4 linked regions of the Arabidopsis thaliana genome follow. The protein of the gene in region 4 interacts with the protein of the main gene of each other region in a pairwise test. Each region holds a gene or a part of one and is shown on either strand. Other genes may lie near its edges.

Evidence for each region.
Region 1: the proteins of AT5G59990 (region 4) and DAZ3 interact in a two-hybrid assay, tested with the Arabidopsis thaliana proteins (one large-scale study listed by BioGRID).
Region 2: the proteins of AT5G59990 (region 4) and TCL1 interact in a two-hybrid assay, tested with the Arabidopsis thaliana proteins (one large-scale study listed by BioGRID).
Region 3: the proteins of AT5G59990 (region 4) and AT2G18670 interact in a two-hybrid assay, tested with the Arabidopsis thaliana proteins (one large-scale study listed by BioGRID).

The regions. Positions count from the first base shown.
Region 1 is NC_003075.7:16,919,231-16,926,240, reverse strand, and holds DAZ3 (zinc finger (C2H2 type) family protein), read right to left. Parts: upstream 2,923-7,010; 5' UTR 2,891-2,922; coding exon 2,063-2,890; 3' UTR 1,907-2,062; downstream 1-1,906. Other genes in the region: AT4G35710 (DUF241 domain protein, putative (DUF241)), read right to left, coding at 89-940; AT4G35690 (hypothetical protein (DUF241)), read right to left, coding at 3,501-4,355; AT4G35685 (DNA-directed RNA polymerase III subunit), read right to left, coding at 6,492-6,789, 6,863-7,010.
Region 2 is NC_003071.7:12,965,396-12,973,034, forward strand, and holds TCL1 (Homeodomain-like superfamily protein), read right to left. Parts: upstream 4,846-7,639; 5' UTR 4,666-4,845; coding exon 4,596-4,665; intron 4,459-4,595; coding exon 4,371-4,458; intron 3,465-4,370; coding exon 3,368-3,464; 3' UTR 3,170-3,367; downstream 1-3,169. Other genes in the region: TCL2 (Homeodomain-like superfamily protein), read right to left, coding at 1-73; AT2G30430 (uncharacterized protein), read left to right, coding at 2,781-3,017. UniProt on the Arabidopsis thaliana protein: MYB-type transcription factor involved in trichome cell specification. Acts as a negative regulator of trichome patterning and formation by direct binding to the cis-acting regulatory elements of GL1, thus suppressing the expression of GL1.
Region 3 is NC_003071.7:8,089,540-8,097,544, forward strand, and holds AT2G18670 (RING/U-box superfamily protein), read left to right. Parts: upstream 1-3,680; 5' UTR 3,681-3,929; coding exon 3,930-4,471; intron 4,472-4,909; coding exon 4,910-4,913; 3' UTR 4,914-5,240; downstream 5,241-8,005. Other genes in the region: PNP-A (plant natriuretic peptide A), read right to left, coding at 1,493-1,499, 1,621-1,891, 1,991-2,105; AT2G18680 (uncharacterized protein), read left to right, coding at 5,241-6,104; AT2G18685 (uncharacterized protein), read right to left, coding at 5,285-5,488.
Region 4 is NC_003076.8:24,148,665-24,156,982, forward strand, and holds AT5G59990 (CCT motif family protein), read right to left. Parts: upstream 4,538-8,318; 5' UTR 4,421-4,537; coding exon 4,028-4,420; intron 3,769-4,027; coding exon 3,610-3,768; coding exon of another isoform or gene 3,598-3,609; exon of another isoform or gene 3,187-3,597; intron 2,716-3,186; coding exon 2,542-2,715; 3' UTR 2,270-2,541; downstream 1-2,269. Other genes in the region: GAF1 (Polymerase/histidinol phosphatase-like protein), read left to right, coding at 1-914, 1,010-1,119.

The sequences.
Region 1 (7,010 bases), on a different chromosome or scaffold from region 4:
TTTCTATTATTCTATATAATGCAACCCTCCGGCAAATTCTCTAAAACCGAATGCTCACGAAGGTTACATTGCATATATTAACTTCTTCCTAATGGGAGATTATGTTGAGAATCGAGGCTCGTGTTCTTATCAACCTTCGAAACAACCCTTCTAGATTTCTCTCGAACCCACCAATGCACATCTCAACCTCTTCAAGCTCATTTTGAAGATCATCATGAGATAAAAAATCTCCGAAAATCGCGGAATCTAATGTCTCCAACACGTTCTTGGCTGGCGCATGGTTATCCTTCTTCATCTTTAGTACCGACGCCAACTTGCTCTTTATGTTACTTTTTCGTCTGGACAATAATTCCAAGAACGACTTCAATACGACGACACTTACCGATACCACTCGTCTCACCCTATCTATAACCGCCACAAGTTGTTCATCTTCATGATCATTATCACATGAACGAGTCCCTCCATCGACTTTCTTCAAGGATCCTAGAAGCTTCTTGGCTTCTTTTCTCATGTTCTTCCTAAATCCGACATAGTCGGAGACAGCGACATCGATTTTATCTCCTCCTCCTCCACCAGATACTTTCTTTCTTCTAACATATGACTGAACGCCACGAACATGCTCGTGAGTCTCCACCATTAGATCCCTTGAGACGCTGCAGATATCCATCAGCCTCAACGAACCATCAAGCATTTCCTCCATGAATTCCGACCCACCAGAGGACATAACCCGTTGCTTTGAACCCATTTTCAGAAACTCCTCCAGAAAAATGTAGAGCTCCTCCAAACCAGCCAAGCCCATCAAGATCGACTCGGATGAACCCGTCGTGGTGTTAATTGTTTTAATCTTATTAAGAGATTCTTCGAGCCCACTTGTGCTTGGTTGTGATCTAGAAGGTAAACTTATAGATCTTAACTGTTTCTTAATGATCATATTCGCCATCTTTTGTGTTTTGATATAAGGTGTTTTAAGGGTTTTTGTGTTCTTTCTTCTTTGATCGATCTGTTTTATTCAACTTGCCCTACACATGCCTATATATATAGCAATGGTTTTTGAAACGTCATCAACCAACAAAACCTCAGCAATAATTGATGTTTTAAATTTCATTGGTCCGATTATTACTGACAAATCTGTGGCTCTCTGACCTGTCAGATTATTATATTGGTCAAATTGAGAAAGCTTGATGAGTCATAGTCTCTGTTGCCTACAGATTCGCCACATTATCAATTGACCTTTCGCGTTCTTGAAGTCGTTTTGGTAGGTTATGAGATCCGGATCTTTCTCCGACCATATTAGGTAGTTTGCTACTTACGGTTCCTCAGGAATAAAAAGATATATTCCATATAACAAAAACTACATCATTGCCTTCTGCATAACGTCTCGCACTATGACATGTGCAAGAGGGGCACTGATTTTGATTAGATTTGCTTGTCAGTTGTCACTGGTGGTTTGATTTGATAATCGTGGAGTAGACTTTTAACAATTTTACATATTCTGATTGGTCAAATGACATTTCCATTTAATTACCAATCATTAACGCTAATATTTGTAATACTTCGTTTTTCTTATGGCATATAAACTAAATTTGGGCATATTCTGTTTTATTCAGACTCAACGTTTTGCAAATTTATTGAATGTGCTATTTTCTTGTCTCCTTTTTTCACTGTTGCGATAATGCAGTGTAATTAACAAAAAATGTTTTTGGGGTTTTGTTTTTTCATTTACATTTTGTATATTTTCGACATAAGTGAAATATATTTAAATAATTTAAAAAATAGGATTAAAAATTATTTTTTTATGCAAATGGGATATGGATTATATAAATTCGCTTTTCACATTTTCCCACTCAAGGTATAAGTTTACATAGTGTTTCAACATATCAATAGTAGAGAATATATTATTTCATTCGCGCATTTATTGTTGCAATTTGGAAAAAAGTTATCTTTTCAAATAACATAGATTAAGAAGTAACAATATCATAGTTAGTATATTCATTTCACAGCGACAAACCGAAGAAAAAATGTAACTAAGGAAAATGATTTGCATGTAACAAGAAAATAACTATCACTCGACTTTATCATCGTTCTCTTCATCACCGTCTGGTGGGGGGGACCTATTCAGATCAAATTTTCGCTTAGATCCAACTCCAATTACCTTGTCTTCCTCCTCGACTGGATCGGCATTTAAGTCAATCCTCGCCCTTCCGATACTTGAAACAAGCCCTTCACCATCGGAAGAAGCCGTAGCGAGTCCACCAGCGGAAGAAGCAGTAGGGACTTCACCAACGGAAATAGCAGTGGCTACTGCACCACCGGTTGAAGCAGTAGCAACTCCACCAAATCCTTCCTCAGCAGCATTGAATGTTGGCGGAGGAAGAAAACCTAGATACCCTCGATCCTTATGCTGCCTTAGATGTCCAAAAACAGCCTTCCAAGAAGCAAAGCCCTTCCCACAAACATTACACATAGGAGGGCCTTGCGGCAGATGTGTCAACTGAGTAGAACCTTTCTTACGGGGTTTCTTGACTACCTCTCCTTCAGTAGTGGTCACCCCAATAGGGGTACAACCAGATGCTTCGGCCAGCGCTTCCAATAATACACGGGGTTTCCCAACTTTTATGATTTCTGGAGTTCCACTAACGTCACCGGTACCACTAGCACTTTGTTCTGTATTCCCTGTGGCTTCCTTGGCGGCTGCCACGATCAACTTCGCCGCGGAAACGGCTTCGTTACGGATGCTTTCATCCACATTGAGACTCTCACTAAGTCTTAGTGCAGGAAGGCCAAGAACAATTTCACGTATGTCTCCTTCTTCATCGCTCCAAAGATAATCACTCTCGTCAAAATTCTCATTCTCTTCCTCAGCAATTTTAGACTTCTCGGGATTACTCATAATTTCTTCTTTGCAGAGATTTAGAATACCACGTCTTCAATTTCAATCGAAGTGGTCTTTATATAGTTTCTATGACCACACGGCGGTTTATGACCGTTATTTTTTTATGTGTGTCTAACGTGTTCGCTCAGATCTCTCTCGCGCCTTTTCTTTAAAAGGTTGCGTCCGTAGGATCCAATCAAAATCTCGTTTTGACGAAATTGCCCCTGCCAGAACTTACGCTTATAACTTGGTTTCTTCAGTTGGTATGAACCGGAAAATAACTAAACCGGTACACATGTGACCCATGGTCCGAATTCCCACCTCTTCTTATGAATATCATGATTTTTTTGGATTAAGAGTCTAGTTCTTTTGTTTTTCTTTCTGTAAGATTTTAATTGTAAATTTATAAATATGCTATATGTATTTTAAACTTTCATTTGTTCATGTATTAAAGTCTGCCTTGTGTATATATCAATGCATTATTGTGTATATTTTTACAAATTAATCTCTACAAAATTATGTTTAATTAGTGTACAATATCTTATCCATGCGTCTATGATGTATCCCTCCGGCAGATTCTCTAAAGTCGAATGCCTTTGAAGGTTACATTACATGAATACTTTAAAACCTAATGAGATATTATGTTGAGAAGCGAGGCTCGTGTTCTTATCAACCTTCGAAATAGTCCTTCTAGTTTCTTCTCGAATCCATCAATGCTCATCTCAACTTCCTCAAGCTTCTTTTGTAGATCATTACGAGAACAGAATATCTCGAGATCCAAATTCTCCAACTCGTTCTTGGTCTCCTCAACATGGTGAACCTTCTTTTTCTTTAGTACCGAAGCCAGCTTGCTCTTAATGTTACTTTGTCGTCGTCCGGATAAGAATTCCAAAAACGACCTCAACACCGCGACGCTAACGGAAACTACTTGTCTCATGGCGTCTACAACCACCACAAGATGTTCTTCTTGCTCACCATTATTTACTGATGATGATGAACTTAAACCTCCATCAATGTTCTTCAAAGATCCAAGAAGCCTCTTAGCTTCTTTTCTCATGTTCTTTCTAAATCCGACATACCCCGCGACGGCGACATCGAGTTGGTCTTCTCCTCCGACTACTTTCTTTCTCCTGACACATGATTGAACACCACGAACATGCTCTTGAGTCTCCACCATGAGATCCCTCGAGACACTGCATATATCCATTAGCCTCAACGAACCGTCAAGCATCTCCTCCATAAACTCGGATCCATCAGATGATGACATAACCCGTTGCGTTGAGCCCATTTTCAGAAAATCTTCCGTACAATTGTAGAGCTCCTCCAAACCCTCCAAGCCCATCAAGACTGATTCGGACGAACCCGTCATGGTGTTAATCGTTTTGACCTTGTTAAGAGATTCCTCGATACCGGTCGTGCTTGGATGCGAGCTTGAAGGTAAGCTTATAGATCTTAGTTGATTCTTGACGAGCATATTCGACATTTTTTTTTATATAATATGCTTTTGTTTTGATTTTGTTCTAGAAATGTGTTTTGAGCTTTGTATTTTGCTTTCTTGATCGATCTGTTTTACTCAACTTGCCCTACACATGTATATATATAGCATAGGGTTTTGCGTATCAACCAACAAAACTTCAACAATAATTGATTTTTTAAATTTGATTGGTCCGATTATTACTGACAAATCTGACTCTCTTAGCTGTCGGGCTATTATATTGGTCAAATTATTTGGCCACAGAGATGAGCCTGATGAGTCATCGTTTGTGTTGCCTCCTGTTTTGCCACATTATCAATTGACCTTTCGAGTTTCTCAAATTTAAAATGATCGACGGTGTTAAAATGGTCTCGGTAGGTAACGAGATCCAGATCTTCCTCAACTGTATATTATATAGTCCCTTCTATTATCCAATCATCATTTTTAGGTTGCTTATAACGAAAATATTTTTTAAACTGCCGGCTACATGGTTTTTCTCACGTTCCAAATCTTATCAAAAAAAGAAAAATATTCCTTGTTATGACACGTATAAAGAAGTGCACGAGTTTTGAGATGATTTGCTTGCGAGATATCACTGACTTTGTGTATCTGATTGACAGATTCTCATTATCCTGGAATGGTTTATTTAACTTGTTTACTTATTATTAGCAATCATAAGAAGCTCGTAGAAACCAAACTAAATCCTTTAAATGAGTCCGACGGCTAACAGCTAATACCTGGAGGCTCCAATTCTTGACTGGAGTGGACACCAAAGGCCTCTGCCCGGCCAATCCTTACTCGACAGTTCCGTCCTTTCTTAGGTGGCATTTTCAACAGGCATGAATACAGCATCGATAGGATAACTTCTGTCTTCAAAGTTATTTGACATTCTCGTGGCAGGAACAGAACAACAGGAAAAGAAAGACCCGGGGCCGACCTACCCAGAAACGGAACCAAAAAATTGAACACAATACAGATTTCTTAAATTCTTTGAAAATTTATCAAATATATATTGGTAACTAAATCAATATTAATTCGATTTCTTGTTTTTTTTTTCCATTTACTGAAACCAAAATTGATTGAAGAAATTATAACAATTCATTTAAAACCAGATCATATGAATAACACTTTGCAACGTGTTGTGGGGCAAGTTAACACAGGGAGACAAATTAAATTTTACAACATATACAATTCTACCATATATATGCAGATATTGAACCTTTTTATATGCTAAATGATAGGGATACAAACCACAATAAAACTTGTGAATTTTTTTTTTCTTTTCAAAACATCTAATCTCTCAGGTATTTGTACTTAAATTTTTTATTAAAAAAAAAAAGTATTTGTACTTTCGTATTAGAAATCTTCGAAAAGATTTTAATTTGATAACTCATGAATGAAAAACCCTGATTTTAACAGAAACGAATTCGTCATAATTAAAAGATACTCTTTTGCGAGACGTAATGTTTAAATTTCCAATAATTGGTTACTACGAGACTAAAGTACTAATTTGTTACAATGCATTATAAAAAGGCTATGAATAGTTTCTAGATTCATATCAACAAAGTATCCATATAATTAGCCTCATCGTATTTTGTCACAGTTCCTTACCCAAAGTACACGTGTAAAAGCTTAATATGTTTGTTGGAAATCATCTTTTATGTCTTGACACCAATTATATGTTCCATCACATTATGTTACTGTTCTTATTAATATATTAAGATCTATAACAAACATTCTTTTTTAGCAGTAGCTATTGGCTCCACGTAATTGTCAATGATCTTTACTTATTGATGGTAACTACCACGTCAATGATATCTTGCTAAAATTAGAAGAATCTTACACCAATTATGAGTCGAATAAGATCTATCTAGAAGAAAAGGAGTGTTCAAGTAAAGTTATGTTATCAGAAAATGTTTTTCTACAAACAATAAGATTTGTCCACGAAACCTTCACCAACTACAATTTCTAAAAATTGGTACAACTAAAAAGATCATCATTCATATGCAACCATCTGCACCCATAATAGTGCTACTAACTTTTATGGTGTAAAATTTCAAGATGGTATATGCTTATTGAGAAATTACACCAAATAGTCTTCTCTTGACTGGAAAACTTGATTCTTTTGGGAAAAGGAGAAGCAGCTTAATACACCTCTTCAAATCCACCATCCTCCTCATGATTATAATCGTCTTCATCATCATCAAAGTCTTGATTCTGATCATAATCTCCGTTATCTGATTCTTCTCCTTCTGATTCCACAACTTGTTCATCATCTTCTCCGTCTTCTTTCTCTTCATTGCCTTGAGTCTTAAACTTAGACTCAAGCTTCTCAAACACATCCAATTTCTGCAAATCAGCTTCTTGACTCCATTTAGCTCTCTTCACAGGCCGTTGTTCTCTTCGAGTATCTCCAACAAGTTCTTTAGAGAAGTTATCAGGTCTAAGAAGAAGAAAATCAAAGAAAGATCCATACTTATTAGACTTCATCTTCGGCTTCAAACGAATCTGAATACCTCTCAATATCTAAACTCGCTTTCTCTTTCTTAGAAACACCACCATCGCATAAGTGATAAGGAGAATTCATCCAAAACTTATTGAAAGTAAAGTAGCTTTGAACTACAACTAATTGCGAGTCTGTTGAGATTGATTTTGGATCAGGTA
Region 2 (7,639 bases), on a different chromosome or scaffold from region 4:
CTGCGGTATCCCCTAGAGTGAACTTGGATTGCTTACGACTGCGAAGGTGACGAAGACGGTTGGTGTTATCCATTGGTATTTGAAAGTGAAAGAGGACAAATAATATACAACTGATGATTTTGGAGTTGGAGAATGCAATGAAAAAAAAGTAGATGTGAGGTAGAGAAAACTATATAGAAAACTTGTGACGAAGAGTAAAGAGAGAGATATAGAAAAGGAGGTCCCAAGCTACCGTAATGAGGACTACTGGACCAGTAGACTTGCTCTTGATACAACTGGATAAAATATCTGAATATCCACCATATAATTGTAAATTGGAGTAATATTTATCAAATACTAAACACTAAAATTTATAACTATGGATACATGATTTGCTCTTAAATACACATATATAATGTCCCGGAGAATTTTCGTCCTGTGGGTTCCACTTAAGGGTAAAGTCTTATGTGAACACAACAAATACATTAGGAAAATACAATGGGTATAATCATAAAGACTTATCTAAAAAACCACATGTTATGGATACAAAAAGATATTAAAAAATCCAGCTCCGCGTTGAACCCGAATTGTGGATACACTCATACACAATTACACAACCAAAAGAAAAATGATGGAGATAGAATGTTTTTTTTGGAATTCGCATGTATTTGAATCCGAGTACTAAATTATTTTTAAGCGAAAACTTGCCCAATTTTTCTATCATCTAAGACGTTATTGTGGTCACAGTGAAAATGGTGGTATTTCGATCTTTCCTAAATGTAGAAAAATGTTCACCACTAAAGCGTCATGACTAATTTACTAGTCTTTGGGGTTTTATGTAGAAACAACCAAATTCTAACATAGTTTAATCTACTATTCACTGCAGTATATCGCTAGTTCTAATTTATTTGACATATCAATTATTCTCAGTTTTTATTTTTATTATTTTGGAATTTCTTCTACTGACGGAGATGGGGATGTGGTCCTGTGAGGAAAGTTACAACAGTAGACTTTTCCAATATCGTTTAGATCTTTTGTTCCGTTTCTGAAAGTATTGTTTGAATCTACTTCTTGAAAATTGGACAAACTCCAACAATCTGTTAATTTGGTGCGGTGATATTAGATCTGTACGTGGGCCGAAATCGTACTCGTCCTAGTAGATCCGAGCCAGTAACCACTATGCCACACCAATGAAATTTCTGATTTTTTGTACTTTGTTTTCATTTTTAGCATTCTACACATATTACCTTTTTTGTTTCTCAACATACATTTTACATACCTTTTTTACACAATTATACATATACGCACTATTTATGACTGGAGTCAATAAATGTCTCAGTGATAAATAAATTCAGTTGATGTAATAAGAAACTGACACGTATAACAAGCTCAATTATATTCAAGGTTTAAAGTTGTCTCAGTTAATGTTCATGTCTCAGCGTGAAACTATAAAGAACCATATATATATATATGTATACATTATTATACAACATTTAATTAGTACAAGACAAATCCTAGGCCTATTAACTAACGAAAAGAACCAAAGGTTTATCCTCGACTAGGCCTATTTAGATAGTTAGATGGGCAAAAGAGTAGTGCGCGTCATCGCTGGGGCTGAAGTAAGTTCATTTATATGATTTGGTTTCTAATTTCAACGATCTCTTTTGATCAGTGTTCCGTCTCGTTCCAGCTTCGTACTTGTAACATGTGTATTGATGCTCTTGCTAAATCAAGTTTGTTCTTTTGATAAGTTATTTTCTTTTTCTTGGTTTAGAGCTTGGAAAGAAATTTGAAACATCAGACATGGTTGCAGTATGTCACTTCAACTAACGTTCTTAGAGCTTGCCCTGTGACAAAGACATACCTTATATCTATAAGACAATAACGTATCTACGAGATATATATATATATATATATATATATATACGAGTGATGCCAAATTTAAAAGCCAGATCAATAAGTATCAACTAGAAAAACAAACAAAAAGACATGCATGTTCGAATAAATACATGGCTTGTTGATTGGTAGATGTTTGATCGATTTAAGAACTTGGTCCACAATATGTCTCTAAAGTGGTCCAATGATTTTAAATGTGAAGTGCGTAGATTCACTTCAGCGCACCCATTATATGAGTGAACAGAATGGATTCAACTTAGCCTCCTACACAAAACTTACACATATTTACTGTATGAATGTTAAGATTTTACTCTATAACTATAATTATCAACATTAGTTAACTATAATTTTACTCTATAACGATAATTATCAACATGGAAAAAGTATATTATCAAAGAATCTAAACTAACACTAACAATCATTCTCGGTCAACTTCTGCTAAAAATCTCCAACTAGCTGAGGAAAAACTTTTTGAGACTCACGTACTGTCTGAGTTTTGGAGTTCTTGGCAACCTCAAACGTACAGCTAGCTATTTGCCACACCAACCACCCAGAAACAATGAAAGAACCGAAGGTGCATGAAGGTCTCGTAAAGATGTTGATTTACGGGACAAGTTGAGAATATCTCTTTCGGCGTATGGTTACTGCCACTCTGCCAGTCTGCCAGCAGTTAATGTCCCTCTCCGATTCTCTGGCCAACGTTGAGTCGCCAGAGAGTGATTTTATTGAGAGTTCTGAATATTTAGAGAATAATACAACTAAATGTCGAATACGGCCCAATTTCAGTCATGTTTTATATTTAAAGCCCACTAACTTTTCCGCAAATTACTTGGACCTATTACTATTAGTACTACGAATGTTCCCAATATTTTGGCTCTATAGAAAATGGTGGAGTGATTTTGGTAATGCATCTTCTCAACATACTGAACGACACATTTGACAGCATCCGATCCTCAACGGAACCATCATCGATAATTCTCTGTCTTATTCCACGAGGCTTGATCTGTGCTACTGATGGAAGAGAATCCACATGGGTCAAGGGCGTCACAAGTAGCACTACGGTCCTTCTCATTGGCCACATTCGTACATTTTTCAAGGAAAAACTTCACATTCAAGCCAAATTCCGATCTCATTTTGGATAGAACCCTTGCATACCACGGTTCATGTTTTTGACATTCTACCTTCATATTCCCATTAACTAGTTGAATTCTTTTCATGCATTGTTATAATGAACTTATCTCGTATCTAATCAATCATATTCGGGTCTTTGGTTGCTTATGCTTTAACCGAATGTGTCTTATAATCATAGAGGTTTTTTCTGCCAATTAAAGTGGTAATTTCCGTGACCATAACAGATTTAATGATGAGGAGAACCCCACTCGACAACTTAATAAAGCTTTTCTTGTCCACAATCACAGAAATTATTTAATGAGGATGAGAAATAGAAAAACAGGGAGATTCTCGAGATTTTTTAAAGAGAGTGACTTTTGCGTCATTTGTGGGAGAAATAGTCACAATTTCTCATAATCCAGTATCTCTCTATCTCCTTTGCCTCACGTCCCACCACTCTTCTTGCTATTAAATCCCACCTGATCATATGATTCAATTTGTGACCAACATATATATGTTATTATTAGTATTCTGATTATTGTAAAAAAATGAATTATTAAAACTAAAATTACATTTTTGATTTCATTACATTAACAGTCTATATATTTATATAAATTTAAAACAACAATAGTTTTTCTATTTCTAATTAATTTAAGTATTAAGGTTTTAACACATATTAAGAACGAATAATTAAAATTTGATTATAAATATATCATTTTGTGATTAATAAATTTCTCTAACTCTAAACCAATAGTATTATTTTTTTTCGAGTTTACAGTTCATCTCATGATTAACTAAAGAATGCATAGAAAACTTGATATATTTATGAAACAATTTATTTTTTGTAAGACTTGAATTAATTAGAATCAAAGGGAAGTATTATAAAATAAAAAAAATTATAGTATAGTTTATAACAATTGTTAGGCAAGTCATCGATTCTTTATATAAGCTTCAGATTCGAATTATTAAAAAATAAAAATTAAATATTGAACAGTCTTAGAAAATATGGATTAAGTTTAAAAAGTAGTTTTTAAAATAAATTTGGTATCTAAAATTATTTTTATGTAAAAAAAACTTTCAAAATATATATATAACTATAGATCCGGATATTTTTTTTTATAAAAACAATTATAATATATGATCCAAAATTTGGTGTGGACAGATCCTGACTCTCACGACATCCGAATTTTCAGAACAAGGTAAAAATGATCTTGGATAGAAGCTTGAATCACGGCAAACAGTTTTATCCCTCACACACAAACAAAAATATTTAATTGTTAAAGCACATATTTTCACACATATTATAATACAATTAGGTCAAGAATTTAATTTTTCTATTTGGAACTAGATCAATATATAAACAGAAGAAGAAAAATGTTACGTGCCTGTCGCCAACAAGTCTGTACATTCTAAAGATGAGATCTTCTTCTTGTTCGGTCATATTGATAAACTCCCATTTCATACTACTCACTTCTGCATTTTAGTTAGTATATAAATTCAAAATATCAGTGAAAACGTACATCACAAAACAATTTAATGTTACAGGTCAAATGAATGAGCGTAGACCAAAAGGAAGAACAATTAGATTTCCAACTAAATCAAAGACAAACCTTGAGAGCTATGAGTGAACTTGGGTTGTTTATGACAGTGAAGGCGGCGAAGACGGTTTGTGTTATCCATTAGTATGTATTGGAAACAGCGAAACAGTATGAACACAAATATTATTGAGAGAAACAAAAAAAATTGGAGTTTGGAGAATGCAAGCGAAGAAAGAGATGTGAGGTTTACAAAACTATGTAGAGACACAAAGAGAGGTCCCCAACTCTCCTACTTGGCCACATAACCTTTAACTTACAAAATATAGGTACACCATAACTTACTGAATAAATTAAATGCTAAAACTAATTTTCAGAAGCAAAGCAGATCACAAATACAAACATTTTAAATTATGGATATCATTCCACTTTGTAATAATAATACATGCATATGATATATGTTGTATTTATAAACGATATATTATTATGTATTCAAAATGAGGAATTTATTATAAAATATTATTTTTTTGTTTGCAATTTGTATGTAGTTATTTTTTCTTATCTTGCAACTTTTATCTTTTTAATAACTTTGATGGAACAAAGTGGATACATAAATTTTAACATAAACTAGGAAACTATATAGTATATCCGGCTCTTTTGTAGAAGATATGAATCATAAAATACATTCTGATCCGGCAAACTAAAAAAAGGAACGAATTATAGATACCAAACAAAAAAGCCTAGTTGTTGACATACACAACAAAATATGTGACATACAGAAGGAAAGGACGAATAATTGTTTTGGAATTTGCATGCATTTGAATTCGAGTACTCATAATCTTCTAAGCGAAAACTTGCGAAAACTTTATCACCTATAAAACATTGAAAATATTGAAACCAAATGGGTGGTCTAATAGTTTTGAAAACTAATGTGTGGGTCAAAGTCACTAGTTTAATACTTGAGAGGAATAATTTATGCTCTAAATAATCAACCACAAAATTTTCGATCTTTCACTCACTCACAGAAAGGAAAACAATTCATTGCTAAAGCGTCATGACTCACGTTGCTTGAATCCTTAAATTTTTTTTGTTGTTGTATGGAAACATCCAAAATCTAACATGGTTTATGAATTAAGTCGCAACTGATTCATTTTATTATGTTTTCAGTACTATAACGTGTTACATTTAAGTGAAGGACATCACATATATAAGTATACACAACAAGTTATCTAATCCAACTAGTCCAAGAAGTTTTTATTTAATCAACAAAAGAAGCAAGGCTTAACATCGAGTTCCTCGACTAAGTCTGTATATCCGCTCAAATCGGAAGTAGACACAATCACACAATGGTTTTTTTAGTCTACAAAAAATCTAACAATTTTGATTTTGGCAAAAAAAATTGTAAAATAAAATTCATCTATATTGGAGTGTATTCTAACAATTTTATCATAGCAAATAGTTTTATGGTTTTAAAACACTAAATAACAGAAGAGTTTTCGTATTTAAATTAGTAAGTTGACCACCACTTAAAACCCAATCTAAATATAAGCCTGAAAGAAAAGAAAAAAAAAAGAAGAAAAAACCCCTAGATTGTTGAAAGTTGAAACCAAGATTTGTCGACAATTATTTAATGTGGTACGATGATTATAAATGTCATGTACGAACGACTTGACTAGGTATTAAACCACACCCAATGAACGGTACATGATTCATGTGTTAACCTCCCCCACTGGCAAACTTACATATGATTCATGTTAACATCCCCCACTGACAAACTTACATATGATTCATGTTACTTTTTTTTTACGCCCTCGATTTGATTTCTCAAACCTAACAATAAGAACCATTTGTATCCACACATATGACCTAATTTGTATTTATTACCTACCTATAAAAAAGTACTTATCAAAAGTTAAAATTAACATTAATGTATCAAGCATACTATATTTGAATTTACATATGTATATAATATAACTTTGCACTGTGGTTCTACTTTTAAGTTTTAACTATATTTGACATTAGATAAGGATCTATGATACATATTAAATTATAATATTAGAAATACAGGAATCTTTTTTATCAAATTCATTATTTATCTATATATATATAGAAGTATTGTAAAATTATTTGAAGTTATACAGTACTGATTCTGCTTAGTCTGTCAGAGTTACAATAAATCCCATAGTTAACCATGTAGACCCACTTCATAAGGGAAGTAAATAGTAAAGGCATGCATATGTTAAAATTCAAATAAAATATCTTCTTTTTTTGTCAAAGAAAGTTCAAATAAAATTTCTTCTAGAACAATTCTCAGGAATCTGATCTGTATTCTTAAACTATTCTAATAGAATATACCGTCGCATCTGATTTTTTATAGAATGTGCCGAGTCATTTTTATTTTATTTTTTAACACAAATGAGCAGAGTCTCATGTGTGACTCTTCTCTTCATATTTACTCTTTTTAACAATTGTTCAGTCAATTTCTTATTGTTCTACACTAAAAACTATCATTAACATGACAAACCAAAAAGAATCCATCATTATCAAGATATATAGGTTTTGATATCTTCTTTTGTTAAGTACCTTAGTTGGTCTTCTTCCCCAATCTAGTTTCTGGTTATTGTTTGTTTTTTTTTGTATACTTTTTATGTTCAAGTTATATAAGAAAACCCTTTCACAAAAAAAAAAAGTATATTCAGGGAACCAGAAATGTTTATCAGTTAATTTTTTTGTAAAACAATGACATGTTTTATCCTTACTTAAAAGAAAGTAATATTAAACAAAATATAGTGGTTTCGTTCGTCAAGCATAACAAATGAAACGACATGATCGTGTGACCCAATAAGCCCAGCAGCCGGATTTGACTTATCTCCTTCTTCTTCCTTTTCGGTCAAATGTTTGACTTTCTGCTAAAAATAACAAAAATGAATTTTAAAATTGAGAAAAAAGAGTTTCACCTTCACCAATCACCATTTCTCTCTACTCGCCAAGAAGTTTCCTTTCCTTTGATTGCACAACTAATCTCAAACTAAAAGATCTTCTCTTTAGGCATACCCAGATCTTTCTCTCTCTAAAGTCTCCACCTTTCACGGTTTTTTGCTTCTCACCTGAATCCAATC
Region 3 (8,005 bases), on a different chromosome or scaffold from region 4:
ACGAGAGAGAGAGAGAGAGAGAGAGGGAAACATAAAGCCAACATGGAAGAAGGTTCTACGGCTTTCTCTGATTTAAGTCTTAACTCGAAGCATGTATGGTCTTCGTGCACTTTTTATTTATTATATGCTTAGTAGAACAATGTACCTAAAAGGCTATAACATACACATTTTCCATTTATTTTTGTTGTTCATCAATTTTTGGTTTATGATTTGGTGTTTTAATTTCCTTTGGTACATAAACTATCATAATTGAAAAACCAGGATATGTAGTTAGGTCAACCTACATAACCTTTTGATAGGCTCACGACCTCACGCATTGAAAAACCATTATTAGAAAATAGTTATTTGGAAAAGTGAAATAGATTTTGTTAGCTCGATTTTAGGAGATGGTAAGGGAAAGCCCACTCACACACTCCTAAAAAAAATCTAAAAACCAGAAATTGCCCACTCCGTTTTGAGTTTTGACATACTCACATACTATACATATATGTTTTCGTTTTTTAGGTTTTGAACTTGAAAGACAGAGCTATGTTAATCGGACATATTTTTTTTATTATCAAACTATTCTTAACTCGTGTTTGGAAAATATAGTTTATTTTGTTCTATAAGTTTCTAAACAGTTCTAAGTTTTAACCCTACCAAAGAGACATTAAATTAGTAAAACCCGTCGGTTAATACTTAATACTTAACAGTATACGGAAAATTGTAAATTAATATAGGATAAAGTGGAATTCTTATTTGAAACACAATGTTCTCATCACAAAGGATCATCCATACATATATATTAGGTATGGGCACGAAGCGGATATCCGGAAAAATTGTGATATTTGTTATTCGATTCATTTTAAACGAATACTTGATTTTGTGATTTGCTTTGCTTCAAAAATTTCCGGATATCCGAAATTTCGAATATTCGGAATTTTTTGTGATATTTGCGGATAACCATATCAGATATTCAAAGTTTTTTTTTTAACATGCTTTCAAAATAAGTTTTAAATACCAAACATAACCGTTGTTGGTATCACCAGTCAACAAACTGTTATCAAACTAATTCCAAAAACTAAAACCCGATAGTTTTTTATGCCATTGATCAAAACATAACATGAAAAAAAAATGATCAAACAAACATCTTAACATAAAAACATAAAATGACAACAATACACAAACTATTTATGATATCTATATATAGATATAACTATATTTTCTAATATATATAAAAAGATACGGATCGAAGTGGGTATTCGATTTTTTTAAAAACAATATTTGTTATTTGATTCGGTTTTTACGAATACTATATTTTTCTATTTGCTTTGCTCTAAAATCTTACGGATATTCGGATTTTTCGAATCAAATCAAATCAAATACCGAATCGAAGCGGATCTAACGAATATTTTGCCCAATATATATTAGTTCCATTCGATTTATTGGAATATATAGTACCACGAAATCATCTCTCGTTTTTTTTGCTTATAGTGTATATCAAGGATCAACTTCATATCCTGCAGAAGAAAAGAATTGTCAAATTTATCTAGACAATATTAAATGGCGAATTTATTTTTGAAAAAATCAAGACAATATTAAACTTTGGATACGATGAAAAGATGAAAGAATGAAACTTACGGTGTGTATACGACACGAATGTTACCGGCATCAGTATTAGCGATAACCCGAAAAGCGTCACGAGAGAGATTAAGGTCACCGTTGCAAGGCTCCCGGCAGAAATCAACTACCTTCACGTCTACGGTACGCCCGGTGCATGCTCTGTCAAAGTTGTATGTAGCACCAATGCATCGAACCCTGTACCTCCGACCACAAGCTCGACCATTTTGCCACAAATTGTTCTTGACTCCGACTACCAGCGTCTCACGTTGTGTTCCGTAACACGCAGACCCTAAATCACATCATTAATTTATAACTGATCATATCTTATTTTTATAATATATATATTTATATATATGAAACAAACATATGTATAATTATATAGACGTACTAGTGTAGGGAGGGTCGTAATAGACAGCTTTTCCTTGAGCAGCTTCAGCGATTGGAGCTAAGATTTGTGCAAACACTATCATCACTACCACAAATTTTACTGCCATTTTTATCATTTTCTTTAACTTGTTTGTGAAATAACGAAGCAAAGGGAAGCGAGTATTTATATATAATTGGACTCAAAGACTGTAAGTAAAAGGAAAAGTCTTTGGTCTACGTCAAGTCTTCCATTACTTATTGTATTGATTTCATACAGGACAATTTGTTATTCCTTACTCCACCTAAATTTTCTTGGTGAATTGAATGAATATGAATATATGATGATGTGTGAAGGAAAATTCCACGAGGGTTTGAAATTTAAAGTTCATTTTTTTTTTCTTTGTGGATATTATTTTCACAAAGCTGCGAAGGAAATTTCGAAGAAACTAAGGAGGGTATTCTCAACATCACTTCGAATCCTACCTTGAGAAAATTCTCAACCTTACCCAAATCCAAAACCATCGGGAAAAGTATAACCGTCTTTTAAACCTTCTGATGAGTGTTAGGTTCTAACGTTAGGACCATCTACTAAAACAAAATGTGTTAATGAAGAAAGTCCCACATTAAAAATTAAAAATTATCAAATAGTATATAAAGTGTTAGGGTCACTCCACCTATTACCAATTGATTTTTAGTTGAAATCTCATATTAAAAGCCCAAATCTATCATGGTATCCGAGTCAGATTGTTCTTCAACTTTTCTAAACATATAAAAAAATAACTTGAACAAAAGGTAATAGTGAAATCTAGAATATTCTTCGGACTTCACGTACTTGCTCCCTAAGATATCTCCAATATTCGGTTTGTTACATAACACCAATAAAATTAGTCAAATGATGAAGTATGAAAAACAAATTTGCTTTATTGACCTCTTTTACAAGAGAAAGACAAATGTCTCTTCTTTATTTTATTTTTTTGAATCAAGACAAATTTCTCTTTGTTATCATGTCAAGTAAATCTGCGTTTATGAATTCAACATTCTGGAAAATAATTGGGCTTAGTGGGCCTTCAAATATCATTTTATGTAAAGGCCCAAATCTCTATATACCAATTAAACTTTCTATCGCTGAGAAAGAGATTTGATCAAATTAAACTTAAGATAACGATTGCCCTTACCGAGGAAGTTGCCTTTGTCGGCTTGTCGCTATAATTCATCAATCAAAGATTCAAAATATAAAAAATGAGATTTTAACTTTTAAGCATATGTCATTTGTGTTGTTATATCATCGTCCAAGTTTAAATTTACAAAACGTATATTGTTAAGAAAAAAAGAGAGCAAACCAAAAGAATGTACAAAATTTCAAAACGTCCGAATCAAACGACAAGCTATGTTCAGAACGAGTATTTAGAATTAGTAGCGATTCCATAGGCCTCCAAGTACGAATATTACTTTTAAAACTAAATTATAAGTTCGAATATTCCATCTTTTTCCATACTATGGTCTTAAAAACAGTGGGATGATGATATTTGCTTATCCTTCAAGATAATGTTTAAAATTATTGGATGAGAAGATATTTCTTATTATTTATATTTCTTGTAGACATGGAGCCAAAAAAATTTATATATATATATAAAAATTAAAATCTTTTATCACATGATCCAAAGCCCAAAAAGTAAAATAAAAAGTATCTCATCACATGACCATTTTTAACCAAACGTTACTGTCACTAAATGAAATCTATTTTTCTTTCTTAAATTTTGCTCTGACAAATATTTTTGATTGCGTCATTTTCTACTTTGGAAATGTCTTTGATTTAGCATTTCAGTTCGCTCAAAACATCAAATCTTACCTTCTTTAGCTTTCACATTAGATTCTGGTAATTATTAGCACAAAAAAAAGATAAGCCAGAATACGAAACAACCAAAAAAAGAGGAGAATTCTTTTTTTTTTTTTTCTTTCCGATGCCTCCGACCAATAATTACCGAATCTCCGGCGAACCACCGTCTACTACGCCGTCTCATCCACCGCCAAAACCGAAAACAAGGATTCTCTCTCTATTCCTCGTTGGTGTAATCATGTTTTCAATCTTCTTTCTCTTCCTCGTTCTTATCGGTATCGCCTCTGTTCTTATCCTCCCTCTCCTCCTCTCTTCTCTCCATCGTCACCACCGACGTCGTCGTCGTAATCGCCGACAAGAATCCTCAGATGGGTTATCTTCAAGATTCGTGAAAAAGCTTCCTCAATTCAAATTCTCCGAACCTAGCACATACACACGGTACGAGAGCGATTGTGTGGTTTGTTTTGATGGATTCAGACAAGGACAATGGTGTCGGAATCTTCCTGGTTGTGGACACGTGTTTCATCGAAAGTGTGTGGACACTTGGTTGCTCAAAGCCTCGACGTGTCCTATTTGCAGAGCTAGGGTTAGATTGTGGGAGGAAGATCCACAAGAAGGAGAATTATGGAGATGTTTTGGTCATAGAAGAAGTAGTTTGCTAGATTTGTAAGTGCTATGTTTCTTGTTTTTGTTTTGTTTCAATCATATTTGGATTAGAAGTTATAATCATTTAATAATGTTTTAAGCTCATTCAACATAGTTATAGTTTCTAACTCGTTCTTGATGACTAGTTCGTTGGAGGAGACTAATTGCTTCATTATTGGTTTATAGAATGATTAGAACCCTTAAGCTCTCGAAAAATATATAAATAGATAGATATGTAGTCGTTTTCAGTTTTAACACGGTGCTACAGAGTTTCTTGACCGATTCAACACGAATTGTTGAACATGTTACCGAGCTCTTGTTTTCTCTCTTTAACATCTCTATTTGTGTCGCTGTCAGGAAGTAATTGTTTAGACTTTTCATCGATGTGTTATACTTCGGTTTCTTGTTCTTGAATTTGTCTAAGTCTTGGTTTCTTTCGTTTGATTTTTGATTGAATAGGTAATATTGTGTGGTTATGTAGACGTGGACTCAGTCTAATGGATGATAAGAATCTCCAAAACTGAAGCTACGAAGAGGTACAATACAAGCCAAGGACTCTTTCCTCCATAGAGAAGTAGCGGGTCGATCTTATGGTAATATATAAGCACTAAGCAGATGGGCGTTTGATCATATAAACCCTCACTACCATTACCAAAAAGCAATAGCCAAGAGCTTTTTTTTTCATTTTCTTTTTGAAAGCCATGGATCGGTTTTCGTTCTTGAATGTTATAATGGAGGTTGCGGGTATTCTAAATGAATCCCGCAAACTCTCCTCAAGAACAAAAAGTTGATGTTCTCAGTCTTGGTATTCCCTCTCTTACTCAATTGTTTAGTTTACTTGTTCAACGCCATTGCCATCAAACCCGAGATAACAAACTTGATCCTTGAATCAAGTTTGTTACCTATGACAGATCCAAACACCCCGGAATTTGCTGCCCATCTTATGAGAGTCTTTGTAGATTTTCGCCAGTTTGTCAATTCTTTATACATCTTCATCGCCGTCTCCTCCATCATCAACCTTTTATCCACTCTTGTCATGGTTCATGCATCGGCTCTTACTCATAAAGATGATAGCTTCGAGATCAAAGATTTTCCGATTCTGACGCTTAAATATTGGAAGGGACCTCTTGTGACCAATTTCTATATTGTTCTCTTCAGTCTTGGCTATTGGTTCCTATTCTTTATAGTCCTATTTTCTATCGTTTTCTTCTCTACAAAACTCGATTCCTTGGCAGCCAAATCTCGCGCTTTATTCATTGTATTTGCAGTCTTTGAGTCTTACTTAGCTATCGTTTGGAACTTATCTATGGTCATATCGATACTCGAGGATACTTATGGGATCCAAGCTTTGGGGAAAGCTGCAAAGATTGTTAAAGGGATGAAGCCAAAACTATTCCTCTTGAATCTTTTCTTTGGGTTATTGTCATTTGGATTAGTTCAAATCTTGCGGCTGGTCGATTGGAGTAGTTCATTCTCGGTTACCTTAACCACCGGTTTGGTCCTTATGAGTTCGGTCTTTGTGGTGAGGATGTTTCAGCTTGTGACTTACACCGTTGCTTATTTCCAATGTAAGAGCCTGCAAGGACAAGACTCGCTGAGGGATGTTGAATATACGAAATTGTCATCCACTACTCTCATGGGAGGATTGCCTTGATTAGGCATGTATAATACATAAATATACGTGGGTCGTTTGTTTCTTAAGAATGTTAAAGTTCACCATGGATTTGGTAAAGTATTTCTAATAATCCAAGGTTTTTTGTAATTTATAAAAGTAATTAATAATCAAAGGTTTGGTTGAAAATATATTTTGTGTTAAGGTATGGTTGCATATGTATATATTTAGCAAGGTATTTTTGCTTTTCTGTACAATGCATATGACATGATTATCCTTTTGGATGAAAATGAGAAAACTACTATACTACAACAACTATAGAAAGCAAACCAAAATAATAATTAGAAAAATAAGAAGAACAAATCCCAAATGTTTTTCATATCATATCGCATTGCATTATGTTACAACATAGCTCTGTAATGAGAATTTTGAATTTCATACATGTATTTCATGTTAAATTATAGTTTTTGACTACATAAGGTATGTTTTAGCACAATATTATAGTCTTTAGCTACGAAAAAGCCGATTTCTCCACAAACTTGCATAAAACAAATTCACGTAGGTGCACACATGAATTTCACATAGTCAAGATATTACGGTACAATAACAGAGTTAGAGCATATGCATGATTATGCACAAAACATGAAGTGTAAGTATGAAATTCAGATTTCTCATTATTCGAATTTAAGTATAAATTTAACATAATGCATTTGTAAGGATATAAAAAATCTGATTTGCCGTGTTTAAGGTAAGTGTTTTTGTTGACTCCTTGTTGGGACATCTAGCTTCACCGTGTCACTCCTTGAGGATAAGACTAAAAATGTCGGAAACTTCTCTCAATTTTATTTGAACATGTTCGGGTTTGAAAACCGGTTTATGTAACTATCAAGAAATAATCAAAACAAAAAATCCAAAAATAAACTTCAATGTGAATTTTGATTTGGGCTATATATTTCAAATTTCAGTCTAAAATTTATTGGCAACAATATTATTAAAAAAAAAAACCTACATTGTTATTACAATGGGGAAACTTATTTATTAAGCGGTATAAAAGGTTTTATACATAAGTAACGAAAAAGTAGTAAGTAAACGACCATGAGTTGGTAATTAATTTGCAAAAATGATGGATGATACGTAAAAGTTTAATTATATTATGTTAAAAATTTTACTTACCTTAAAAACAAAAGAGATCAGATTTAAAGAAAAGAGAGGTTAGATTAAAGGAGGAAGTTCTACAAGAAGGAGAACTATGGATATGTTTTGGTCATGGAAGAAATAGTTTGCTAGATTTGTAAGTGCTCTGTTTTTCTTTTTTTCAATCATATTTGGATTAGAAGTTATAATCATTTAGCAATTTGCAACGTCCTCAAAGAATGTTTGAAGCTCTAATTCTTCTATGTTCGGTTAAATATAAATATATAATGACGGTTTGGTATAGCATATAGTTTGACCCTACTGTTTATGACTCATTCATGATGACTTGTTCGCTTGAGGAAACAAATTTTTTTTTTAGATAGATGTTTCATTATCTTACACGGTTTCTTGACATTTTCAACACGAATAGAGGAAGTGAATGTTGATCACGTACATTTGATGAAGAAGTCAACTTGCAATGTTAAACATGTTCCTCTTATTTTCTTTATATAACATCTTCATTTATGACGCGGTCAGGAAGTCATCATTTTTAGACTTTTCATCGATGCATTATGCTTCGGGTTCTTTGTTCTTGGATTTGTCTAAGTCTTGGTTTCTTCCTTTGATTTTGGATATAATATGTAGTAATAATAATATATTGAGGGTTCCGTGTACTTGGACTCAATCAAATGGATGACAAGAATCTCCGTAAGCGAAGCTACCCCGAAATACAAGCCAAAGACTTCTTTTTCCATAGAAAAATAGCTGGTCATAATCTAAAGGTATAGTAGTTTTTGAATGTTTGGTTA
Region 4 (8,318 bases):
TAATCAAGTTTCTGAACTACGTATGGCCACAGCTTCATCTGATGATAACCTTCGGGAAATTGAAACCATAAGCCAAATTGACATGCTGATGTCTGAAGATGACAATAAGGTGGAACCTACTACAAATGTCCTCAAAGAAGAAGCATTTGCCCTAAGGAAATGCAGTGCCAGCCATGGCCAGGGGATTTTGGTGCAAAATCAGACGGCTACTCCCTTTACACTGACAAGATGTACAAAGTCAGAAGCAGCGTCGGATGTTAGCATGAATATTGAGTCGACTTCCGAAGGTGGATCAATGTCACCGTCAAAAAGCGATCATGGGATCCCACAAAGTCCTGTTGAAGTGAATAACATGGGAAATGCTGCTTTTGAAGAAGAAGCCTCAGTGGACGAAAACAGCAAAGAAAGAGCTACTACTGGTCATGCTAGTAATGATGAGATGCATATCACTGAGTCTGGACACCACGCATCCATTGATGATGAGAAGCATATCCCTGAGCCTGAACACCTCACATCCATTGCTGATGAGATGAAAATTGATTGTTCTTCGGAAGCAAATCACGACGAGTACATGGAGGTCACAATGGAAGACCAGATGCATGAAACAGGTGACAGTAAGATTATTCTTCCTAACTTATCCTCTGAGACTACCGATTTGCTAAGTGAATCAGGTAAATCTCTCAGTCCAGATGCGGTTGTGCAAGACCATGACGAAGCATCAAGACTAGAGTCCGATGAGACAAAGCTCGAGGAAGAGGCATCAGTTCCAAACCACAACACCTTTGAGATAACAATGGAAGACAATAAGGTCGAAGAGTTAACAATTGAAGACGAGAAGGTTGAAAAGACTGAAACCGAAGCTAGTCACCAAGCCCAAGTCCAATCCTCTGAAAATAACAATGACACAAAATCAGGTACGAGATCTAAGTTTCCTCATTTGCAAATCTAACCTAACACATAAGTTTGGAGTATAGATTTCAGTCTAATGTTATATCAATCCATAATGTAGGTAAGACGCAAGCTAAGAGGAGTAGAGTTCGTTTACCGCAACTAAGGCCTTTCAAGCCTTTTCTACTTCAATCAAGGTTCAAAAGGATCAGTAAAAAAAGAAAACATTGAAGAGCTTGATCATTCTTATAAGTACAAGTTTTGTCCATTAATTTATACCCACGCAAGTCTCGTGGTTTCATTTTTGAACCGATTATAAAATGGGGGAAAGAAAGAATCTAATTTATTCTCTAGAGTTGATTCTTTGTGTACTCGTGTTCAAGAAAAAGGCTTTTAGTTAAAATATTAAAAAGGAAAAAAAAAAGTTAAAAAGATTTAAGAGTGGAGGAGTCGGTAAATCTACCGCCGGCCGACAAAAGTCGGGGACAATGTCGCCGGAGGGCCTACATCTCCCTCCATAGCCATTGCTAAAGAAGAAAGACTGCTCTCTTTCCTTTTTCAAAACTACTTTATTTATAATCTAATTGAGAAGCATTATTCTTCACATTATTACTAATTACCTACTTGTGAGAAAAATTATTCTCTTATTACTAAAGATGCCTAACATTCAAATTATTTTCACTTTTAAATAAAAATAAATGATTTTTGTTACTGTTGGAAAATAATATAGTCTTACAATCAAAGTAACATTTTTTCTTGCAAAATATCAAAAGTGCTGAGAAACTTTTCCATAGCTTTTTTTTTTGGCAAAAATAATTGCTAGTATGTTTTCCTCTAGCTTTTTTTATATACTGACTTATGAGAATGAATGTATGGGTTGATTACTTTAAGTTAGTTTATTTGAGTGGAAGCTTCTTTGATATCTTAAGAATTCTTAAGGTATATAATATATGTTTACCTTTGGAGATTGCTAGTACTTAGCACGATGTGTAATCAACGTGAGAGTATTATGAAATCATCAAAGTAACATGGCCATGTGTTCATTATATGTTTTTCAATGCTAAAAGTTATCATCTTTGTACTTTCTAAATACTTTTGTAAATCAAGTTGGTAAAAGAAAAATCAGACCATTAAGGAACATACTAAACTATACATTAACTATTTAAGGGTCCATATACATTAACGATGTGTAATCAATTTGTTTTAGTTGGAGTTCGATATTTTTAATTGTTTTATGTATATCGTTTGCAACTCACTTATGGACTACCGAATTTAAATGACGGATCTAATACGGCGACGACGTTTTATCTCAAATCCACTTTGTTCTCAATAGGTGAATATCGTTTTGTTTTGCCTTTAACCTATCTAAAACCCCATTTATCTCACTTATAGAACTCAGTGCCATGCTAAGACAATTGCAATCGTCAATTGACAAAGTGGCATATACCACTCATGCAGAATTGTATGGCCAGTGAAAAAGGATTAGTTTGCAAATATCTCAGATCAAAAATACAAGATATGTTATTCTTATATACAAAGATAACACAAAACCTACACATGAGTTTAGCAACATGGGGAAATCTTTTAAACCAAAACAAATTAAAGTGCCATATATAAACATATATAAGAAAAACAAACATAGAAGAGATTAAATTAGTTGAGGAAGTGATTAGCAGAGAAAGAATCAAGAAAAGATGCCCACGTGTCGACATCTCCTACCACGGCTTCCATAACATCAACTTGTTCTTGTTGTGAGATCTCATCATTTCTTGCAAATCTCCCTCTTATTCTTGGCCTACTGTCCGCTAATGTCTTCCTGCATTCGTACTAATAGAAAGATAAAAGATTATTATTAAACCTGTCCCAAAGTATTGTGATAGTTTTTAGATCATTCACAAGTCAAAACTTGTCGGTCAAAAAATTATAACGCGAGCAGAAATATCTCATTGAGATACGGTTTGAATATGTTAGTACATGAATACTCCAATCCGATCTTTAATTAGCAATGAAATATATTTGTGGACCTTCTTGTAAGAAAAAACTAATGGAGAAAAAAACTTGTAGCAACCTTGGAGCTTGATGTGTCTATCTCAAAGGATTCCTTAGACCCAAATATGATGTGACAGAACATTAATTCTCGTTCACATACTCATATATATCAGATGAAATTCTATTTATGTTTGAAGATAAGATTGAAAAGAAAAATTCAATGTTACTTTTTAGTGATAAGAGTGATTGATATGATACATTGAGCCTGTTTTTTTTTTTTTTTTTGGTCAACGAACCATTTAGTTTTGTATTAAATGTGAAAAAAAAACAGTATTACTAAGAAAAGATATCTTATACATTTGATTTTAAGAAAATAGACATTTATATATGCTCTTGTGTATGAAATTATACAGAAATCATTATTAGTTGATTAATGAAGAAATTTATAGGAAATTGTATGCTTGATTAGAAAATGGTTGCATCAATATATGTGAAGGTGCATGTCACTGTTCCATACAACTACTGTACATGTCAAGTCCTCAAAAGTTTTCCATGCGACACATATATACACATGTTGAATATATAATATAGGTTAGGTGTACATGGACTCTATGTGATGAAGAACAATATGAATCAAATGATAAATTCTTATATGTTAAAATAAGATATAAGAATTTATGCTAACAAACAGTTTAGAACAAAGAAACAACTGTAAAACATTTATAAAATTACCTTAATCCTCTTGTTGAAATTCCTAAGGTTTCGTTTGCTACGATATTTCTCGATCTTTTCTTTCTTCTCCTCAGGACTATACTTGTAGGCTTTGCTCATTCCTTCTATTATTGCATTGCTCTCACTCCACACCGTACTGCTCTCTCTTCTGCTACTCCTCTACACACATACCAAAACAGTGTCGTCTTATGTTATGATAGAATTATTATTATTTTCAAATAAAACCCCAAATTTTAGTATGTTTAGATAATTTATTTGTGTTTTGGTGTTTTCATTTTACACTCTTGCAAAACCATAAAACAAACCAACAATATAATGTTTCGTTTTATAAAATGTGAAAAATTTCATACGTAAACGAAAACATAAAAGTTAACGTTTGAAATCTCGAAACTGCAAGTGTGTATATAATATTACTTACGGGTAGATCTCCGGCGCTAAGGGCCCGTCTCACTGGCCCATCATCATCGTTAACGAAATCATGGGCCGCTGTGTAATTACCGGAAAAGCCATTATGGCTACTAACACTCCTCTGCATAACAAGACTCTCTCCGCCACTCCCCATAGAGCTTGGCGAGTCGCAGCTGCTGCTTCCACCACCACCGTTCATGCCGGAATCAAAGTAACCGAACCCTGAAACCGCCTCGGCCGCGTATAGAGAGTTTTGGCTCATCATAAGAAGCGCCAAAGGCGGAGGCGGGAACTGATGATGATGATGATCAAGCAGCTGAGGAGGAGCCACTATGTCGTCGGAGTATAGAAAACATGGACAGTTGTCGCCGGAGGTTATAGAAGTGCTGACGTGTCCACACATGGTGGGTTTTAGTTTATTGTGGTGTTTATGTGTCTTTGTGTGTTTGTTTATGTGTGTGTGTGTGAGTGAGTGAAACTCGAAGTGGTTTGGTTTCTATTTAACAGAGGAAGGACTGATGCTGACGTCATTAATCGTCATCTGAAGTCAACTGACTTAACCGTTGACTTCTTTTGACTGACTAGGAAAAAAGGAATCTTTAGGTATAAAAAGAGTTGCCTTTCGTTTTCAGGTCGCTTCTATCTCACTCTCACCCGTTATTCTTCAAACGACATATATTACACGAAATTGAATCCGACATGTATTATACGAAGGTGAATTTGGATAGTTGAACAAAAATGATAATTATTTTTTCATTTAGGTTTAAAAATGTTTTCATTAAAAATAGAACTACTACTAAAAACAAAAATTCAAATATACTTACTTATATATAGGTTACTGATTAATATGCTATCAATTATAAATACAGAGGAAGAAAGCTAGTGACAAATAATTACTAATTATAACCAAGTGTTGTTAATTCAATTAGTAAAAACCCTAGACGAAACTTAGAGATCGCCAGTTCGAATGACGTTTAGAACAAAAGTAATATTATATGCTGTAGTTTCGGGTACGGAGGGATTACGGGTTTCAGTCCAAAACCTCTTGGTATTCAAAAAAAAAAATACTAATTATATTGAATTTCAAAAAAATTGTTATTATATTGAATTTTATAATTAGTAAACTCTTTCTTTTTTTTCAATCTCTTTAACACATTTACGTTTCAAACTAAATGGCGTTATAACATTTTTTAATGTATTAAGAATTTCACAACGATAATTGTTGTAAAATGGAAGGCATAATCATTTCTTGAAACAGTAAATTTACTGATATTTTCGTAAGCAATTGTGTTTTAACTTCAAGTCCTTGACGAAAAAAAATATACAATTGTGTTTTAAAATAGTAGATAGATAACATCTCGTGCAACATTCATAAATCATAACAGCAAAAGAACAATGTAAAGAAAAATAAAATAAAATAAAGGACACGACTTAGCTTTTTAGCTCGAATTGTATAGGAGAGACAAAAAGATGGTTAAAAGCATTATTTCACGCAAACCCATGTGAGCAGCATACAAATCTACTTTTTTGCCTAATTAATCATTAACTTAATCAACAGTAATAATTAATTAAGCTCAGATACTTGATTGCTTTGGTTATGTTCACATTAAACGGGTGTTTAGTCCGGTCCGGATAATTAACCAGACAAGACACGATAGTACTGCTCTGTATATGAATTGTATATCTGTTCCAATCCATGATTAGTCAGGTTAATTAGCCAGAATTTTTTGTTTGGAATCAAATCGATTTAGGTAACATATCGAGAGAATATCTCAAACGAGTTATACATAGCTACCCCTACGGTAAAGTATATAAATATTGTTTTTTTTTATAGATATTTTGTTTACGATTAGTTACATTCCAAGAACGAAATTCGAATAGTAGGATCACTGCATATATACCAATATATTGTAGGAACACGTTGTAGTCAGTCACTAAATTGGCCTACTCATCATCATCATCATACATAATACATAATCACTCATTTAAGAACAAAACAACTTATAATTTCCTGTTTAAGCCTCACTCCATAATGAGGATACATAATATCAACCCAACTCGTGGTGTTTGTTTAGTAGAAAAATTAACCCACATATCACATTATTACTACTAGATGATATTGATTATATTTATCTAATTCAGTCCAATCCAAGTTTAAACTAAAATGATTATATATCTATATGTATCCAAAATATTTCATTTGGATGATGGTAACAAACCGAACCAAAAATGAAAAATCAAATTTGTTACATCTAAAACCTAAATTTGAACCAAAATTAACAAAAGTGCACTAACTTAGATAGTCTTCCTCCTGAAATGTGTATACAATCTTCCCTTGTATTAGGGGAAATGATTGTTCTTCTCCATTACATTCTATATATACAATATGGGTCCGTCGATAAATTTATTTGAAGAATTTTTTCTCGTCGATATCACTTCTCTAAGCCAAATATATAATTTTATTTTATTTATGGGGTACGAAAGCATCTTTTTCACTTAAGAGGATCGGAATGTAGGTCCATTAGAATCAACGAAATAAAAATTAGTTATATTTTTTTTCTTTGATTAACACAAACTTTCATTTTTTATGCGCCGGAAACTAGAGCATGTAAATTAGTCTCCTCTAAACAGGTCAATTAGTAGGAAGAGAGCTGTAAATCTCATTTTGAGAGAGTATTTTCAAACAACACTAAACCATCATCTATTGGGATTATCTATAGTTTTTTTTTATCGATTACTCTTCTTTTTATCGTCAACGTACAAACATTAATGTCGATTTGTGTTTGTTCCGTATCCACCACTCTTATTGTAATTTCTAAATATACTAGCTGTGTTTTGCAAACATTTTTTAGGGAACGTTGAAGACATTTCAAAACTTAAAACAAAGTTGCCCCACATAATGTAGAGACATAAATAATAATTCGCAATCGTTACGAGGACATAGGATCTCGATTCCAACAGTGGATAGATGTACTATGGGACTAATTAGAAAGACATTTTGTGTATCCTTAAGGGCAAAATAGCCACAAGTTGATGGGAAAGGTCATGCAAAAGCAAAATCTATAGATCAATCGATGGTAACGAAGACTTTTTCTATTTGGTGGTAAACTTTGTAGCATAATGTACCAAAAACAAAACGTTTCATGCTATGGTTGGTTCATAACTAGTTTCGAGTTTTAACGATCCAATAAGAATTGTTCTTTTTGTTTTTAATAAATAGTGTTTTTGTTTTTGCATTTCTTACCACCACTGGAGCAAATTATTGGTTTTATACTTTCGCAAGTCTCTCAGTAACCCACTTTGGTTATTTGCACACAACAATTATATACCTAGTTGTAGTTTCAAGAAGGTCAACGGTTCATGAAAACGATGATAGAATAGGGGAGATATATATTTTAGTATTTATTCCTATTACTAATGAAATTATATAAATAAATATAAGTAATACTATAAAATGAACTTAAAACTGAAATTAATATAATCGTGTGAAAACGTTACTACTACTACTACATTTGGTGAAAATATGAATTTGCATTTTGACTTTATAGCATGAATTCATACATAAACAACGTATAGTATGCATACAAAACTTTTTCATGGTATTATGCGAGATGTTTGATTTTACAATATATTAATGGCAATATGCAAATAATATAGTCCAAGCCTATAGAAAGCAATGATAATAGCATAAATGTAGGCAATGAGTACACAAAGAGTTTATGATCAAAAGAAATGAAATGTGTAGGGTTACTTGTTCTTGGTTGAAAGAAAAGTATGTTCCATACAAATCAAAGAAAGACGGTGTGATTTAGATGTTTTTAAGTGATCCCATCATTTTGTTTTATTGTTTTCTCTATTCTTTTTAAATTGTTAATTAGGACTCGTGCATGTGTTTCTATGCGTTTGTCCAATCTTCTGGACAAGAGAAAAAGGTCAACAAGCACAATAGTTTCTCCACCATTTTCACATATTCTCCATTCACGTAAATTAAACTTTCAAACTTTGGATACTTCGTCTGTTTTTGGCCTTGGAATTCATATTCGTTACAAAAAAAAACCCATCAGATTAAGAAATATCTATAGATGTCTAATTTTGATTTTTTTTCTTGTTATTTGAGATTATAAATTCAAGTTTAATCCATATTGACATATACTACATCTACAGTGTACATACATAAATAAAGAACAGGAAGTCAGGAACATACCATAACTTACTTGGTATAATTAATGTCAACACTGCTTTTATCATTTTCGCTTTGGATGCTATTATATATGTATAAATGAGTGGATGTATATGTCGAA